2 linked regions of the Pelodiscus sinensis genome follow. The protein of the gene in region 2 purifies or fractionates together with the protein of the main gene of each other region. This does not show direct contact. Links are inferred from orthologs where the notes say so. Each region holds a gene or a part of one and is shown on either strand. Other genes may lie near its edges. The genes, in order: RIN1 and ABL2.

Region 1 (7,794 bases), on a different chromosome or scaffold from region 2:
TCACTCTCCCCATGTCCTCCAGCTGCCATGCAGGACACCTGGTTCCTCTAATCCCCACCCCTCATCCACCACTGGCCCCACACACAATGCTTGGGTCCCTTAAACCGCCCACACAGACCCTGAGTTGTTCTTCAGTACACCCGGGGTATCCCATAATAATCCCCTTTCTAGCACTGCTGTTCGGGATCAAACACCTGGAAATGGGATTATTTTCTCATCTATTCTTTATATACCCTTTTAAAAAGTCACCATGTGCATAGCTGGAAGTCAGGACTCCTGGGCTCTGGGAGCGGATCATGAGGTCTGGTGGGTTAGTGTGATAGGGAAGGTGGGGAAACAAGACTCATGGGTGGAGAATGAGGGCTGGAAATCAGGACTCCCCGGTTCTGTTCACTGCTGCTGAGTGAGTACCTTACCTTATGCCTCAGTTTCCCCATCTGTATGTCAGGCTAATGCTGCCATCCTTCCTGAGGGAACAGCATGGGTGGGATCCAGATAGCTCAGTGAGCAGCGGTATGGGGTGGAGTGTGCTCCCTGCATAAGTTTCTCTAATCATCTTGACTCTCCCTACAGGCTAAAGCAGCCGTGTCCCCCCAGAAAAGAAAAGCAGATGGTAAGAGCTGGGCAAGGGATGAGATATGGGGCCTTTTTCTCTAGGGGCACAGGTTCCAGTCTGGCCTCTGGTGTCCCCTCGTGTCTCAGCCAGGACATGAGCCAACTTGGCCCTGCAGCTGCCATCTGCTGCCAGCAGGGCCTATCCCCATATGTAGGGGCTGCACCAGCCCCCCTACCATTGACCACCGCTCTCCCCTCAGTGCTGGTGAAGGTGGAGAAGCCGGGAGCCCAGTTCTCAGCGCGCTGCGAGGACGGGCGACTGCATTACGAGGGTGAGATCTACAGCAAAGGGCAGAGTGTTGTCCTGGAGGTCGGGGACGAGGCGCCTGCGCAGTGAGTGGCCAGGAACTGGCTGGCTGGAGGGTATGGGGCACGGGGCCTTTCCCTTCTAAGCGGCACCAGCAAAGCCATCCCATCCATAGGACGGCATGGAGCGGCCATCCCAGCCCCAGGCCATGGGGGCCTCAGAGTGATCCAGGGAATTGCCTGGAGGCCTGGCTCAGGGCAGCAGGGGGTCATCCTCCCACTCACTGTGATGGTGGAAGCCAGAGTGACCTGGCAGCCTGCTCTGCTCTATCCTGCTGCCCTCTGCCAACCCGCTGAGCTCTGGGCATGTGATAGCCAGAAGCAGAGCGCCCCAGCCACAGCGGGCTGGAGCAGAGGGGGCTGCTGGGTGAGCTGTGTTACACCGCTGCTGTGGTGAGCGGTGTGTTACGCCTGCTGCCGCCTCGTCCTAAGCTCCCAGCTAATTCCCTGGATCACTGTGGGACTCAAACCCTCAATACCAGGGCAAGAGGAGGTAGAAGAGTGTGGGGTGAGGGCAGAGCTGGGGTGATGCTTGGAAGGGTTAAAGCTGTGGCAGGGCCTGGGATGGGGAGATTTGCTCTGGGTTTCACCTCTGGGGTATAGGGAGAGATGGTACTGCCCCAGGCCCCATTCCCCCTGGGAATGGCCCTGGGCACCAGCTCTGATCCAGCCCCAAGGCTGGCTGGCTCGGGGTAGGGAATGGGATACAGAGCCTTTTCCCGAGACGGGGTCTGGGGGACCCTGAATCCAGCCCCAAGGTGGAGAGGACTGACTGTCCTTGGGGGGGCTGGCATGACCCCTCTCTCCCCTGCAGGGCAGTGATCACGGCTGTCAGCACTGGGGAGGTCTGGCTGCGCCGGGAGGATGGCACCAAGACCAAAATCTACGTCTCGCAGCTGCAGAAGGGCAAGTACTCGGTGCGCAAGGCCTGAGTGGGGCTCAGCCCTGCGGCTTGGCACAGGCCTCCTCCTGGACACAAGGGCCCACAGCTCGTCTGCGGTGCAGCGAGGGGCTGGGCGGAGGCTCGGCTTGCTGCCCCCTTGCACTAGGACCCAGATGGAGAGGACTCTGGGGCCCTGCCCGGTGGAGTGTTCACATGGCCAGCGCTCCCGTCACAGATCCCTGCAGACAGACCAGCACGAGGCTTCACCGCTCGCTTCCCTCGCTAGGACTCTGGTGTTTGTAGCAATCTGGGGGGCACGTAACTCCCTGTGTCCGGGGCTGTTGTGCCCCACAGGGAAATAGGGATGCTGGTTCCAGGGGCTTCTGCAGGAAAAGCCCTGGGTCTTGACCAGCTCCCTGGAAGTGTTCACATTAAAAACTAAGCGAAACATGCACAATCTTGGCTCTTTGATTCATTTCAATGTATTCTGGGGAATAGGGATGAGCTGGCCTGGGGGGTGAGTGGGGTGTCTTCTGTATCCCTTTGAGGCACAGAATGTTCCCAGCACCATCCCCTCAGCTACGTGCGCTATCCCTTGTCTGAGCCCTCTAGACCTGCTGGCCACAGTTCCTTCAGGGCGTGGATCGCTTTGGTGTCAGGACCCTCCCTGACTCCAGCCTGTGCTGATTCTGGGACACACAAGTGGCAGCACCTTTGGGACCCTCCCAGTCTGCACTGTTGTCTTTTCTCCAGCCTCCCTTCCCTTTGGAAAAGAGAGCCACCTCCGCTCTGTCCCTGGCCAGATCCTACTGCTGGGAGCTGCTCACATGGGTGACAGTCTGGGGGGCCTTGTGTCTGAGCCACACCTGTTCTCATCTAGGCCTCCCCCAGCACCCTAGTGCAGCTGCCTGCACCCTGCCAGTGCTCAGCAGAGCAAGAGGGAGCACAAATGGGGGACCCCTCTGCATGAGCTGTACCCCAACTTCACAGGCCCTGGAGGGGCTACAAGGGCATTGGGGTGAGTGGGGCTGGGTCACAGGGGGGATCTGGCACAGAAGTGGGAATCCTGCCCTGATCTTGGTTCTTCCCCATGTTGGACTCTCAAATCCTACTGGTCCCTCCCCACAATGGGGCTTTCGCCTGATGCCCCATGAATTGTCTAGAAAACTGATCTCCTGAATCCCAGCCTCACACTACCCTTCCCATGGCTCAACCCCCTTCTCTGCTGGCCCAGCTGTTTGGGGTCTGGGAGCCAGAACTCCTGGGTTCTAGCCTCAGTTTTAAGAGCTCTATGGGGTCAAGTGGGACAGGAGCACTGGGATCCAGAACTCCTGGGCTATGTCTACGCTGGCGGGTTCATATGCAAGAACACGTCTTTTTGCGCAAGAGTGTCCATGGCAGTGTGGACACTCTTGTGCAAGAAAGCTCTGATGACCATTTTAGCTATAGGGGTTTCTTGCACAAGAAACCCCTGCTGGATGTCCACACTGCCCTCTTGCGCAAGAGGGCTTACACTTATTAGAAAAGAGTGTAGCTCTTGCGCAAGAAGCCCTCTCTTCCCACGCTTTACTGTAAATCTTCTTAAGCAAGAGCAGGCGAGCCCTGTGGACGCTCTGCAGAAGAATGGCTGTTATTGTGCAAGAACCCACCAGAGTAGACAGCCTTGGAGTCTCTCCTCAGTTTTGGAAGGACTGTGGAGTTCGCTGGGTTGGGGGAGTGCTGGGAGCCAGAACCCCAAGGTTCGGTTTTGCAGCTGGCTGTCTAACAGTGACAGAGCCCTCTCCCTGGTTTGTGCCTCGGTTTCCCTTCCTGTATTGGGAGCCATTGTGGTCTCCCTGGAGAGGGGAAAAGGCATCTGCAGGGCTCCAGGGTGGAGGATGGGGACAGATACAAAACCCAAGACAAAGTAAGACCTGGGGAATGATGCCCAGGGCCCCTGATGTCCAGGGTGGCCAGGCAGCTGCCAGGGTTTGGCTTGTGGCCTGGACATGCTCAAAGCCCAGCACATGTGAGTCTGACATGGGAGTGAAGGGAATAATAGATTAATAATGATGCTGAAGGTAGCAAAGAGGTTATGAGAAGGGGGCCCTGCCAGGGCCTGCAATGGGGGCCATTTGGATGGGAACTGGGAGAATGGAAGAGGACACTGGGGGCTCTGCCCGGGATGATCTGAGATGCCAGCTCCATTCATATCAAAACTTCACTCCTGGTAAGATGGGAGCACAGCCCAGCAGTCAGGATGGGGGGAGGAGGGGAGAATCTGGCTTGGTTCTGATGGATTTTCCACCTGTGGCTAACTTTCTTTGTCCCCTGGCTCCTCCTTCTACTGTCCTGGCTGCTACCGACTGTCCATACAGCCTACAGCCCTCGCATTGACCTTTCTCTCCCAGCTGGAAGAGTAGAGTCTAGTGCTTAAAGCAAAGTGCTGGGAGCTAGGACGCCTGGGAGCAGAGTGGTGTCTAGTGGTTAGAGTTGGGGGTGGATTAGGAGTCAGGACTTCTGCTTTCTGTGTTTAGCTGGGGGGTTGGAATCCAGTGGGTTCGAGCAGATGGGCTGAGAACCAGCACTCCTGGGCTCTGTGTCAGCTCTGGCTTGGGCAGTATGCTTTTCCGGGCCTCAGTTTCCCCCTGTACAAAAGGAGTGAGCTGGTAGGCTGGTGAGTTGTGCCTGCCCCGCTTGCCCTGGGGCTGGCTGGCTGATTAGATCTGCGCCCCCGCACGGGCTGTGCCAGCCTAGAGAGCTTTGCCTTGGGAACGTGACTGCGGGGGGGGGGGGGGCGTCTATCCCTGCCTGGGGCTGGCTCCGCCCGGTCCGGGCCTGTGCCATGGCTGGGTGTGACGGTGAGTCACAGCCGACGCGCATTCCACTGCTCCGGGCCAGGTTTGGCTCCCACGGAGCCGGGGCACTGGCTGTGGAGCCGATACCGGGACGCAGCTCTGTGTGCAGGGCTCCCTCGCCCCTGCCTCCCGCTATAGACCGCGCCGCGCCCCACCCCAGAGGCGGCTGCATCTCAGCGCCCCGCCAGGGCTCCGTGTCGCGTGGAGAAGCAAGTTCCCAGCAGGAGCCACGTGGGTCTGAGTCTTGCCCTTCCTGCTCCTCCTGCCGCCTCCCTCCCGGGGCGTTTCGGGGCTGGCGCAGGCTGGGCTGGGCTGCCCCGGGCCCGGAGAGCTGGTACCAGGGGAAGGGGGCGGCCCGCTGCGCCTCCTCTCCCTGGCAGAGGGAGCCTCGCACCTCCGCAGCCTGGTCACCCGGCCAGATGGAGCCCCCGGACCAGCCGCACGGGTATGGCCGAGGGGCCTGGGCCGGGAGGGGCGGGAGCCAGGACGCCTGGGTTCTGCCCCAGCTCTGGGAGGGCGGGGGCGGGGGTGGGGAGCCGCGACTCCTGGGTTCCTAACTCTGGGCTCCCTGCGCTCCTCACAGCCCTGCCTCCCCGCTCCGCCTGGCGCGTGACCCCGTGTACGATGTCCCGGCGCCGCACGTCTGCCCCCAGCCCAGGCCCGCACGGGGGGCTCCGACCAGCGTCAGCCTCCGGGATCGTCTGCTCCTCACCCAGCCCGTCTGGCTGCAGCTGAGCCTCAACTCCGCCACTGCCCTGCACATCCTGCAGCGGGAGCCGCCCGGGGTGAGGGGAGGGGGCTCTGCCCTGCTGGGCTGAATGCTGAGGGCAGTGGGTTCATGGGTCTGATGGGCGGCACGCTGGGGAGTCCAGGGGTCTGATTTGGAGGGGGCACACTGGCTGAGCCCATAGGTCTGATTTGGAGGGGGGCACACTGGGTGAGTCTATGGGTCTGATTTGGAGGGGGCACACTGGGTGAGTCTATGGGTCTGATTTGGAGGGGGGCACACTGGGTGAGTCTATGGGTCTGATTTGGAGGGGGCACACTGGGTGAGTCTATGGGTCTGATTTGGAGGGGGCACACTGGGTGAGTCTATGGGTCTGATTTGGAGGGGGCACACTGGGTGAGTCTATGGGTCTGATTTGGAGGGGGGCACACTGGCTGAGCCCATAGGTCTGATTTGGGGGGGCACACTGGGTGAGTCTATGGGTCTGATTTGGAGGGGGCACACTGGGTGAGTCTATGGGTATGATGTGGGGGGCTCCCACACTGGATGAGCCCATGAGGCTGACGGGAGATCCCACATTAGGTAGATCACTGGGGCTGAACAGGGCCCCGGTGGATATGGAGTCCACAACTCCTGCATAGCCCCTGCTGTGAGGTGCTCCCTTCTCACCCCAGACGTTCCTGGTGCGCCGATCAAACACACGCCAACGCCGGGCCCTCTGCTTGCGCCTCCTAGATGACCTGGCACCGGCCTTTGTCGCCAGCTACAGCCTGCAGGAAGGACCAGCCGGTAGGGATGTGCGCCTTAGGGTTAGCTGTGTGCCTGGTGCCCTATGGAGCCCCCCACTCCCTGCAGCATGGTGCCCCTGGCACAGCACTGGGCCAGTAAGCAAGTACTGACTTCCGGGGAGAGCGCCTCTCAGCACTGCAGGCTCTGAGGGTCCATGTCTTTGCAGGAGTCTCCCTGGAGGGCTCATCCCGGAGCTTCCCAGACCTGCTGCATCTGGTAGCCTCCTACTGCCAGAGACGGTGAGTGGGATCAAGGGGAACACTCTGGCTACATCTACACTGGCCCCTCTTCCGGAAGGGGCATGTAAATTTCATGAGTCGTCGTAGGGAAATCCGCGGGGGATTTAAATATCCCCCGCGGCATTTAAATAAAAATGTCCGCCGCTTTTTTCCGGCTTTTAAAAAAGCCGGAAAAGAGCGTCTAGACTGGCCCCGATCCTCCGGAAAAAGTGCCCTTTTCCGGAGGGTCTTATTCCTACTTCAAAGTAAGAATAAGAGCCTCCGGAAAAGGGCACTTTTTCCGGAGGATCGGGGCCAGTCTAGATGCTCTTTTCCGGCTTTTTTAAAAGCCGGAAAAAAGCGGCGGACATTTTTATTTAAATGCTGCGGGGGATATTTAAATCCCCCGCGGATTTCCCTACGACGACTAGTGAAATTTACATGCCCCTTCCGGAAAAGGGGCCAGTGTAGACGTAGCCTCTAAGATCTGAGCTCCAGCCTTCCCCTGCTCCCAGGGGACTAAGATCCTGTAGTGCAGTGCTCACCAACCAGTAGATCAGGATCTACCGGTAGATCTTGGTGCCTCTGCCAGGTGATCCTGACTGGTTTGGCGGGGAGGCTGTCACGTGCCGGTACTTCAACTGTTCCTCCCCACACTGCCTTGCTGCTCCTGCCCAGAGCCTCAAAGCTGCCCCCTGGGAACCTCCTGCTTGTTGTGCAGAGTGGAGGAGACAGAGGCAGAGGGCGCTGATGTCAATCTGTCCTGCTCCCCTGTACCCCATCTTGACAGAGTAAGGAGGGTGGGACCTCAGGAAAGAAGTGGGGCAGGGCCTCGGAGAAGGGGCAGGGCGGGGGTATTTGGGTTTGAGGTAGATCCCAGACTCACTTAGATTCAAAAAGTGATCTTGTGCTTAAAAAGGTTGGCAATCCCTGGTGTAGTGTCTGGGGCAGTGGGACTGGGGGAGGGTTATGGAGCAGAGGGAGTTGGGGCAGCTCTGAGGCAGAAGGGGATTGGGGAAGAGTCCTCAGGGAAGGGGGGATGGGTAGAAGGGGATTGGGAGGATGCCGCTGGGAGAGGAGGGAGCCCTGGAGTTGCTACTGGAGTCTGATACACTGTCCCCCTAGGGAGGTTCTCCCTGTGGCCCTGCGCCTGCCCCAGCCCATCCAGCAGGCGGTGTCACACAAGGAACTGGAGTCCATTTCCCACCTGGGGCTTGGTGAGTTGATCCCCCCCCCACACACACATCTCTCTTCCCCCATCCCCTGCCCCACATCTTGCTGCCCCTGCACTCCTCTCCCTGATCCTTCTCCCTTCAGGCCCCCTGGTCCCTCCCTCCCCACCCTCTGTCCATGCCTCATTTCCACTTCATCACCTCCATCCCCACAGCCATTCCACTTTCCCCATCACCCTGCACTCCC
Region 2 (7,761 bases):
AAACAAAAGTTGCCCTAGGGATACAATGCTTGAGTTCAAGAATCCCAGATATAGCAACAGATTTATTCTGCAGCATTTCCCATGCACAAGGGATACATCAAACAAACAGCCCTGTCAAACCACACCGGGGATTAGGATGACATCTAGAGGCTGTTGCATATACTGTAATATAGAACATCCAAGAATGCTCAGACAACATTATTAGCTGAACATTTTAATTTCTCTTTTTGGAACAGAGACTGCATGCAGTGTTTGTGACCAGTGGACCATTGTCAGTATTTGGGAAAAGGGACTGTGAAATTTATGTATGGCAGATACTTTTAAATTAGTAAATAAGTGCTTCTGGCAATGTCATATTTCACTTTAAAGTTTTTTTTAAATCTCAGTTTTATCTTGGCTTTTTGGTAATTTTTCTCCTGTATCCCAAACTGCTTATATGTCAGAAAACTCATTGGAAGACAGAAATTGTCAGGACTAAGTTTTTTAGGAGGCCTTGTTTATGGATATTGCCAAACCTTTTCAGATTAAATTAGCTTTATATAACAACATATTTATGATACTATATGAGGCTAGTAACATTACAGTTGATGATAATAATTATCATTAATATACATTTTCCTCTTCAAAGCACTTTGAAAACATTAAGTAACTTATACTCTAAGCACTCTAAGGATGAATAATGATTAGGCCCACTTCAAGGATAAGAAGAGGTGTGGCCAATGGGAACACCATGATAAAGTGGCAGAAAAATAATTATAATTTAAGAATACTTATTCATATTCTCATTCTGGCTCTACTAGATTATTAAGAAGCTAATTGCCTCATCAACCCAGCACTTGCTACCCAAGTTACAGTGATACTATTAAGAAGCTAATTAGGCACAATATATTGCATGGTTTTCAAGTATTATATACATTTTATCTATCTATCTATCTATCTATCTATCTATCTATCTATCTATCTATCTATCTATCTATCTATAATAAAATAGTAAACACTTTGAAAATATATTAAATGGGCTGTTATCATCTCGATCTGACTCCATCTCAGTAAGAGGTTTCTGTGCTGTGGCTCCACGTCTTGTGGCATCAGCATATTACTTAACACAAGCTAGTTATGCAAAGATATCCTGTGATGTCATGAGATCTAAGGAATAAAAATTCTGTTTTAAACAAATAATGCTGGATACCCTTCTGGACCCCTCCTCCTCCAGAAATAAATCTCTCTCAACATTGGCATATTCTTTTAAAATACTAATAAACGTCCTTTGGAAAGTGCTCTGAGATCTATGAATGAGAGGCAGTAGGAAAGCTGTTATTGCTACTAATTTTAAAGTGGGGTTCTACTCTGAAATGTGACTCTGTAAATGTCAGTGTGGAGTTTTAATTTTTTTGACTTGCAACAATTCTCATAGCAAATGTGTTCAGTTTACAATTAAAAGATTTTTTTTAACTACCAGCCCTGCACATAGAAGATCTGAAAATAAACTTGATCTTTTTTCCCTTGTCACATGTGCCATCACCAATAAAAGATTCCACAGGCCAACAAATACCTGGACTGTCCTATTATCTTCAAATTCTGACCTCTTTTCTACCTGTGCAACCCTTTGGAAGCCAGAGTCAGTGACTGGATGTTGGTAAATAGAATCCAGCTCACTCGGTTATCTGTGTTGTCTCTTCATGCAAATTGAAGTAAAACATACATGTTATAATCTATATATCTATATATATCTTATTACTTTAGGCATATGTTTATCTCCCTCTGTATATAAAAAAAGTTTTTCCTGCCGTGCAACTGAATTACATCATCAGCCTACTTGAAAGTGAAGTCTCAGCGTCTCGCTTACTTCTGCTTCAACCAGAACCAACTGTGAAACTGAGATCTGTCTGTACATCTGTCTATAACATTTAGTATGTGAGCAATAGACCAATTAAGTTTTTCTATACATCTTCATTTGTTCACTTCTATATAATCAGTGCAAGTTTAATAGGCTCTCTGGAGTTGGCGAGCATAGCAAACATGGGGCACAGCCCCTCCCGTGTGTGTGTATAAAGCATATTCCAAAGGTTATAAGATTCATCTCCAGTAAACACACAAATAGGACCAGTTTGTTAAGTTAGAAAGTGCTTACATAGTCACTTTTTAAAATACCTGTACAACCACCTTTTAAGAAGCAAGAAGCACTGAAATAACATTTTAGGCAAAGATAAAATGAATTATTTTGCATCTTCATTTCAAAATTGCTCACTTCCAAATAGGAATGGGCTAAACTGATCTGAAAGATATTCAGATCTTTCCAGTGTAAGAGGTCCCAGACTTTTAAGTGATATAATTTAATTTTGAATTTGTTCTAAGTGAATCATAGAAACTATGACTGTAAGTTTAATATGAATAATAATTAACTGTGTCTTAATTTAGTGTAGATAGTCATATTTAGCTCTACTCAAGTTTCTTCTCTTGTGCCTATCAACATGGCATCTGGGTACTTTCCAGAAGTTGAAGTGATGTAATTAGCATCTCTCATGTGTGAATCTCTTTTCCTCCCTTCCCTGCTCCCCAGGAGGAAAATTGTGAGAATTATTTTTAAAAATGTTTTTCATTTATGTTTTGTAAATATTTAAGTGTGCCTACACTTGGAATGGAAAGTGCTGAAATTTTAAGTCATTCTTAGGTTTTACAGTGGTTCATTGCACAATCTTCAACCAGCCTCTAAGAAAATGCTTTCTCTTACATAAATGAGCTTTCCCCTTGTGCCTCCCATCCTGCCAGCTTTAGCCAAATGAAAAATAAAGGGGAACAGCAAAATTTGAAACAAAACCCCTCTTTCACAGTAGTCACTCCCTCTCCTCCTTTTGTGGGCTTTCCATATCTATTAGTTTCCATACTTTCAAATGCTTACAGTTTGTAACTGGAACATTACTTAATATATTTATGTAACCGCAACGCTTGTTGAAAATTTGTCCATTATATGCCTCAGTATAATTTTGTGCTTAATGTTAAGATGTCTGTTTTTATTAGTGATTATTTCTGTTAAGGTCATGATAGAAATGTAGCCGTGTTAGTCTGGGGTAGCTGAAGCAAAATGCAGGACAATGTAGCACTTTAAAGACTAACAAGATGGTTTATTAGATGATGAGCTTTCATGGGCCAGACCCACTTCCTGGGTCTGGCCCACGAAAGCTCATCATCTAATAAACCATCTTGTTAGTCTTTAAAGTGCTACATTGTCCTGCATTTTGCTTCTGTTAAGGTCATGGTGGGGAAATCACATTTAATTTCTCATATAATCAGGGTACGCTTTCTGGGTCAAACATATGCCAATTTGGAATTTTTAGACCTTTTGGGATATAATAAGTATTTGCATGACTACTAATGAAAATTACATTAAAATTGACCAAATGTTGAAAGGAAATGAAAAAGTAGAAGAGGACCCCCCCTTTGAGAGTGTAAGGGTATGTACATATTCTACAGCAGTATAACTGCGATCATGCCACTATAGTGTAGACACTTACTACAGTGATGGGCAGGGCTTTTCATTGCTTCTAAATAAATCCACTCCCTCAGAGGAGGTAGCTAGGATGAGGGAAGAATTCTTCTGTTGACCTAGCTGCATCTACAGTTGGGATTAGATTGACCTAACAGCATCACACAGAATATGACATTTCTCACAGCCCTGAGCGATGGAGCTAGCTTGACCTTCACTGTAGGTTTAGCCCAGGCCTAATATTATGAAATGATCCTATGGCATGCATGGTGAGCAGTATTTCATGTATCTCAGTCAGATTTCTACAGAACAAGGGAAGGGCTTGTGTTCACAAAGAGCATTTATGGGACAGGAGAGAAACAGGGTAGTGCTGTGGGGATAAATAACAGTAGGTAGTGGAGAACACCGAGCTGTCAAGCAGACAGTGGGGGATAGTCAGGATGACACTGTAGGTGGAGAATGGGTGGAAAGGCAAGAGGGGGGGATGGAAAAGGGGGTTAATTTAATCGGTGTGGGCTGGGGGTTCAGGGGACCCAGAGGAGGATGGCAGGGGATGGGCAGGTCGTTACTAGGCAGTCAGGGGATAGTGCAGGGTGGGAAAAGGGTTGGCAGGGGAAAGGAGAGATGGGGTGTCAGGGAGGAGGCGGGAGGGGTGTGTGGTTGCTGGGTGATGTCAGGGCAGAGGTAGGTGGGCTGGGCGTTGCTAGGTGACGTAGGGAGGGGCAGAGGTGTCAAGGAGGGGGCAGCGGAGGCTGGGTGATGTCAGGGCGGGGTCGGGCGTTGCTAGGTGACGTAGGGAGGGGCAGAGGTGTCAAGGAGGGGGCAGCGGAGGCTGGGTGATGTCAGGGCGGGGTCGGGCGTTGCTAGGCGACGTAGGGAGGGGCAGGGGTGTCAAGGAGGCGGCAGAGGAGGCTGGGTGATGTCAGGGCGGGGTCGAGCGTTGCTAGGCGACGTAGGGAGGGGCAGGGGTGTCAAGGAGGGGACAGAGGAGGCTGGGTGATGTCAGGGCGGGGCCGGGCGTTGCTAGGCGACATAGGGTGGGTAAGGGTGTCAAGGAGGGGGCAGAGGAGGCTGGGTGATGTCAGGGCGGGGCCGGGCGTTGCTAGGCGACGTAGGGCGGGGCAGGGGTGTCAAGGAGGGGGCAGAGGCGGCTGGGTGATGTCAGGGCGGGGCGGGGGGTGGAGCTGGCGGTGGCAGGACACCCTTGGAGGACCGGAGGTGGGTCTCTAGGAGCCGCTCTGTCCCCTCTCCCGCAGCTCTGTGGTTAAGATGGCGGCGGGGGCTGAGGGGGCGAGTCCGTGAGTCCCAGGCCGGAGCGCGGCGGGCTGGGGCGGGCAGCCCTGTGGGGAGCCCCGGGCCGCGGGCGCAGGAGGCCACCGGCAGCGGAGGCGGCATGTGAGTGAGGGCTGGCGGGGGCCCAGGACGGCAGCGCGGGGATGGGCCAGCAGGTGGGCCGCGTCGGGGAGCCGGGAGCCGGGCTCCAGCAGCAGCCGCCGCCGCCTCAGCAGCCCCGGGGAGCGCGGGGGAGCAGCGCGCCCAGGCCCGCGGGCCGCAAGCGGGAGGCGGCCGGGCGCGCGGCGGAGAGCGGCTTCAATATCTTCACCCAGCACGGTAAGGAGGGCGGGGGCAGCCGCTGGGCACGGGGCGCCCCGGGGGACCGCCGGGGCAGGGTTTGCCGGGGAAACGAGAGGAGGGGCCGGGGGGAAGGCACCGCGGCTGCGGAGGGACAGTCGGGGGCAGCCGCACCCCGCCCCTCCCCCATCGCTGCCTGCGAGGGCACGTGTGGGGGGCAGCCCCATGCACCCCCTTTCCCCATCGCTGCCTGCGGTGGCGTGCGGCCTGTGGGGGGAGGGGACTGGCGCGGCTCCCCGAACGGTTTCTGCCAGAGCGGGGATGGGGAGGCACGTAGGGTCGGGGTGGAGGGTACATCCAGGGCTCTATGTGCCTGCACAATCAGATTCCCTGGAAGGCGAGCGATGAGAGGATGCTTCCCTTCTGAAGTCCACCACCTACAAAGCTCTTATTGCTACAGAAACTTCCACCCATTTGCCTAGCTGCTGTGTCAGAGGGCAGTGATTTTTTTTTTGCTGTTTCCTTATCGGTAAGGAGGTGGCTTATGGAGACAAATATGAATAAAAAATAGACACAGAGCGAAGTACGCTATCTACCTTTGCAACACCTCTGTGAACTTCTTTGGGATGAGCCCCACATAGTCAGACCTTTGTCTGTTCCAGGGGATAAGTACTGAACACGTTTCTGACTTAGTCTTGCCCTTTATTGCTGACATGGCTTTCTCATTACTAAGGATCTATGGAGCAGGCTGTTTTGTTCTTGGCATGGCTGTAATAGTCGGTACATCAGCTGACTTAGCGAAGTCCAAATTTGCCCCCTCCTTTCACTTTACAGTAATAAAAATACTGACTATGAAAGTGAGGTTACAGGGGGGGAAAAAAGATCCTCTTAAAAAGCCAACCGTCTCAAATACTGTACCTTTATAATTTTTCTGTGCCTTTTTTGTCCATTATAATACACTGGAAGGTTGAAAAATATGGTAAACAAAGTAAGAGTGCAAGGAGCTGAAGTGTAATGGTGGTGCTTTTTGTTGTTGTTTTAATTTGAAGACCTGAATTTGCTACTGAGAGCATTATCGATTTTTATTTCAGCTAAAGCAATCATGTTCCAGTGTTCATGTGGCAAAACTGCTTCTGACAACTTAGCTCTTTCTGAGCCCAACAGAGAGTGCATATGCATTAAGATACTGGACTGCTGCTGGTTACATGTTTTTAATGTAAAGTCATCCCCTATGACAGCTGACTTGCACAGCTTAGTAAATCAGTGATACCTACCACGTGGCAGAGACAGTGTGTAACCTTCAATATAAATTCACTTTCTAAATATACATCATGTATTGATAAGATTCTAAACAGTTTATGAACTTCAGGACATTGTCAACTTAAAAAAAAAAAAAGTAGCTTCTTTCCACAAGTCTGCTGCTGTTGCTGAAGGTTAAATTCAATAAAAAAGATTAGAGAGGAAAATATTCAGTTGGATCTTGTATTGACCCAGTGCCAGTGTATAGTCAGTTTCACTATTTCCTCTGTACAGTTAATTAGTTTTCCTTATTTGCGTGGGTCTTTCACACACCATCAAAAGAGAAATTATTAAAAGTAGGAAAATTACTGCAAACCCTGAAATTGACAGGGAGACTTGGGGGCAGGTGTAGTTAAAAATACCAATGCTTCAATTTCATGCTGAAACCAAAAATCTTTATTTCCCTGGTAGAGCTGTTATGAAAGACTGATGTCACAGTCTAAGTTATCCCTTTAATAACAAAGTACCTCTCCTTGGTGTTTTGGTAGCAAAGAAGGATAGTGATAACTTTGTAAAGTATAAGAGGCAGTGCTGGTCATAGAAAGCAAATTCACAGGAAGTACAGTATATTATACTAGATAACTAGAAGATTACCCAGTGCCAGTGTTGCTGGGGTCTTTAACTCAATTAATTTTGTTCAGCTAAATCTGGGGTGGGGCTGGGAATGGGGGGTTCAGGCTGCATTAGGGGGAGTGGACAGCCCTCTCACTGCAGCAGTGTGGAGCCAGGTGAGAAGTGCCTGTCCATGGCCACTTCAGCTGGGGGAGGTCCAGGTCTGCCCCCTGTGCTCCCCAGACACATTGAGGAATGCAACAAACTGTGCACTTCTCCCTGGCTCCCAATGAAGGAGAACATCCAGTAACGTTCCTGTATGAATGGGGGGATCCCAGCAGGGAGCTGGGCACCCAGGCTGCTGGATTCAATGCGAGTTGGGACCAAGCAGTCCCAGCTCGCTGCTCCTCTGCATTTTAAATGTCGTGACTTTTATTACATTTAAAATGCAGAGCAGCAGCATGGGTGGCTTTGCAGCTGGCTGCTGGAGCTACCTCTGCTGCGGTTCTGCACAGTAGCGCTTATTCACTAATCTTATAGTTGATACAAATTGTATTGACTATACGATTAGCCAGATAATTGTGTTTTAACGTCCTTAGTATATTGCATTAGGAACTAAAGGCCATACCTAAGTTTACGGTCCTGTTGTGCTAGGTTACATACACTGAGTAAAAGAGTTCATGCCCCAGAAAACTTGCCTGAACTGCCAGAAGGGGGAGAAAGGAAAGAGATCTTTCTGCTGTTGTGGAGTTGAGCCACAAGTTATGTCCCCTGTCACTCCTCTGCCCAGCATCAGTTCCTGCTCTCCCAGGCTCTGACACTGATGTCTTACAGAACTAAGGAGAAAGGGAGTA

The links.
Region 1: the proteins of ABL2 (region 2) and RIN1 purify together in Homo sapiens (co-immunoprecipitation; 3 studies listed by BioGRID and IntAct, counting the BioPlex papers as one, with this or other methods). This does not show direct contact. The link is inferred for Pelodiscus sinensis from reciprocal best matches to the Homo sapiens genes ABL2 and RIN1.

The regions. Positions count from the first base shown.
Region 1 is NC_134721.1:32,368,418-32,376,211, forward strand, and holds the start of RIN1 (ras and Rab interactor 1), read left to right. Parts: upstream 1-4,729; 5' UTR 4,730-5,060; coding exon 5,061-5,086; intron 5,087-5,224; coding exon 5,225-5,426; intron 5,427-6,042; coding exon 6,043-6,157; intron 6,158-6,323; coding exon 6,324-6,396; intron 6,397-7,500; coding exon 7,501-7,592; intron 7,593-7,794. Other genes in the region: BRMS1 (breast cancer metastasis-suppressor 1), read left to right, coding at 574-613, 816-948, 1,736-1,853. UniProt on the Homo sapiens protein: Ras effector protein, which may serve as an inhibitory modulator of neuronal plasticity in aversive memory formation. Can affect Ras signaling at different levels. First, by competing with RAF1 protein for binding to activated Ras.
Region 2 is NC_134719.1:59,803,411-59,811,171, forward strand, and holds the start of ABL2 (tyrosine-protein kinase ABL2), read left to right. Parts: upstream 1-4,727; 5' UTR 4,728-4,920; coding exon 4,921-5,095; intron 5,096-7,761. UniProt on the Homo sapiens protein: Non-receptor tyrosine-protein kinase that plays an ABL1-overlapping role in key processes linked to cell growth and survival such as cytoskeleton remodeling in response to extracellular stimuli, cell motility and adhesion and receptor endocytosis.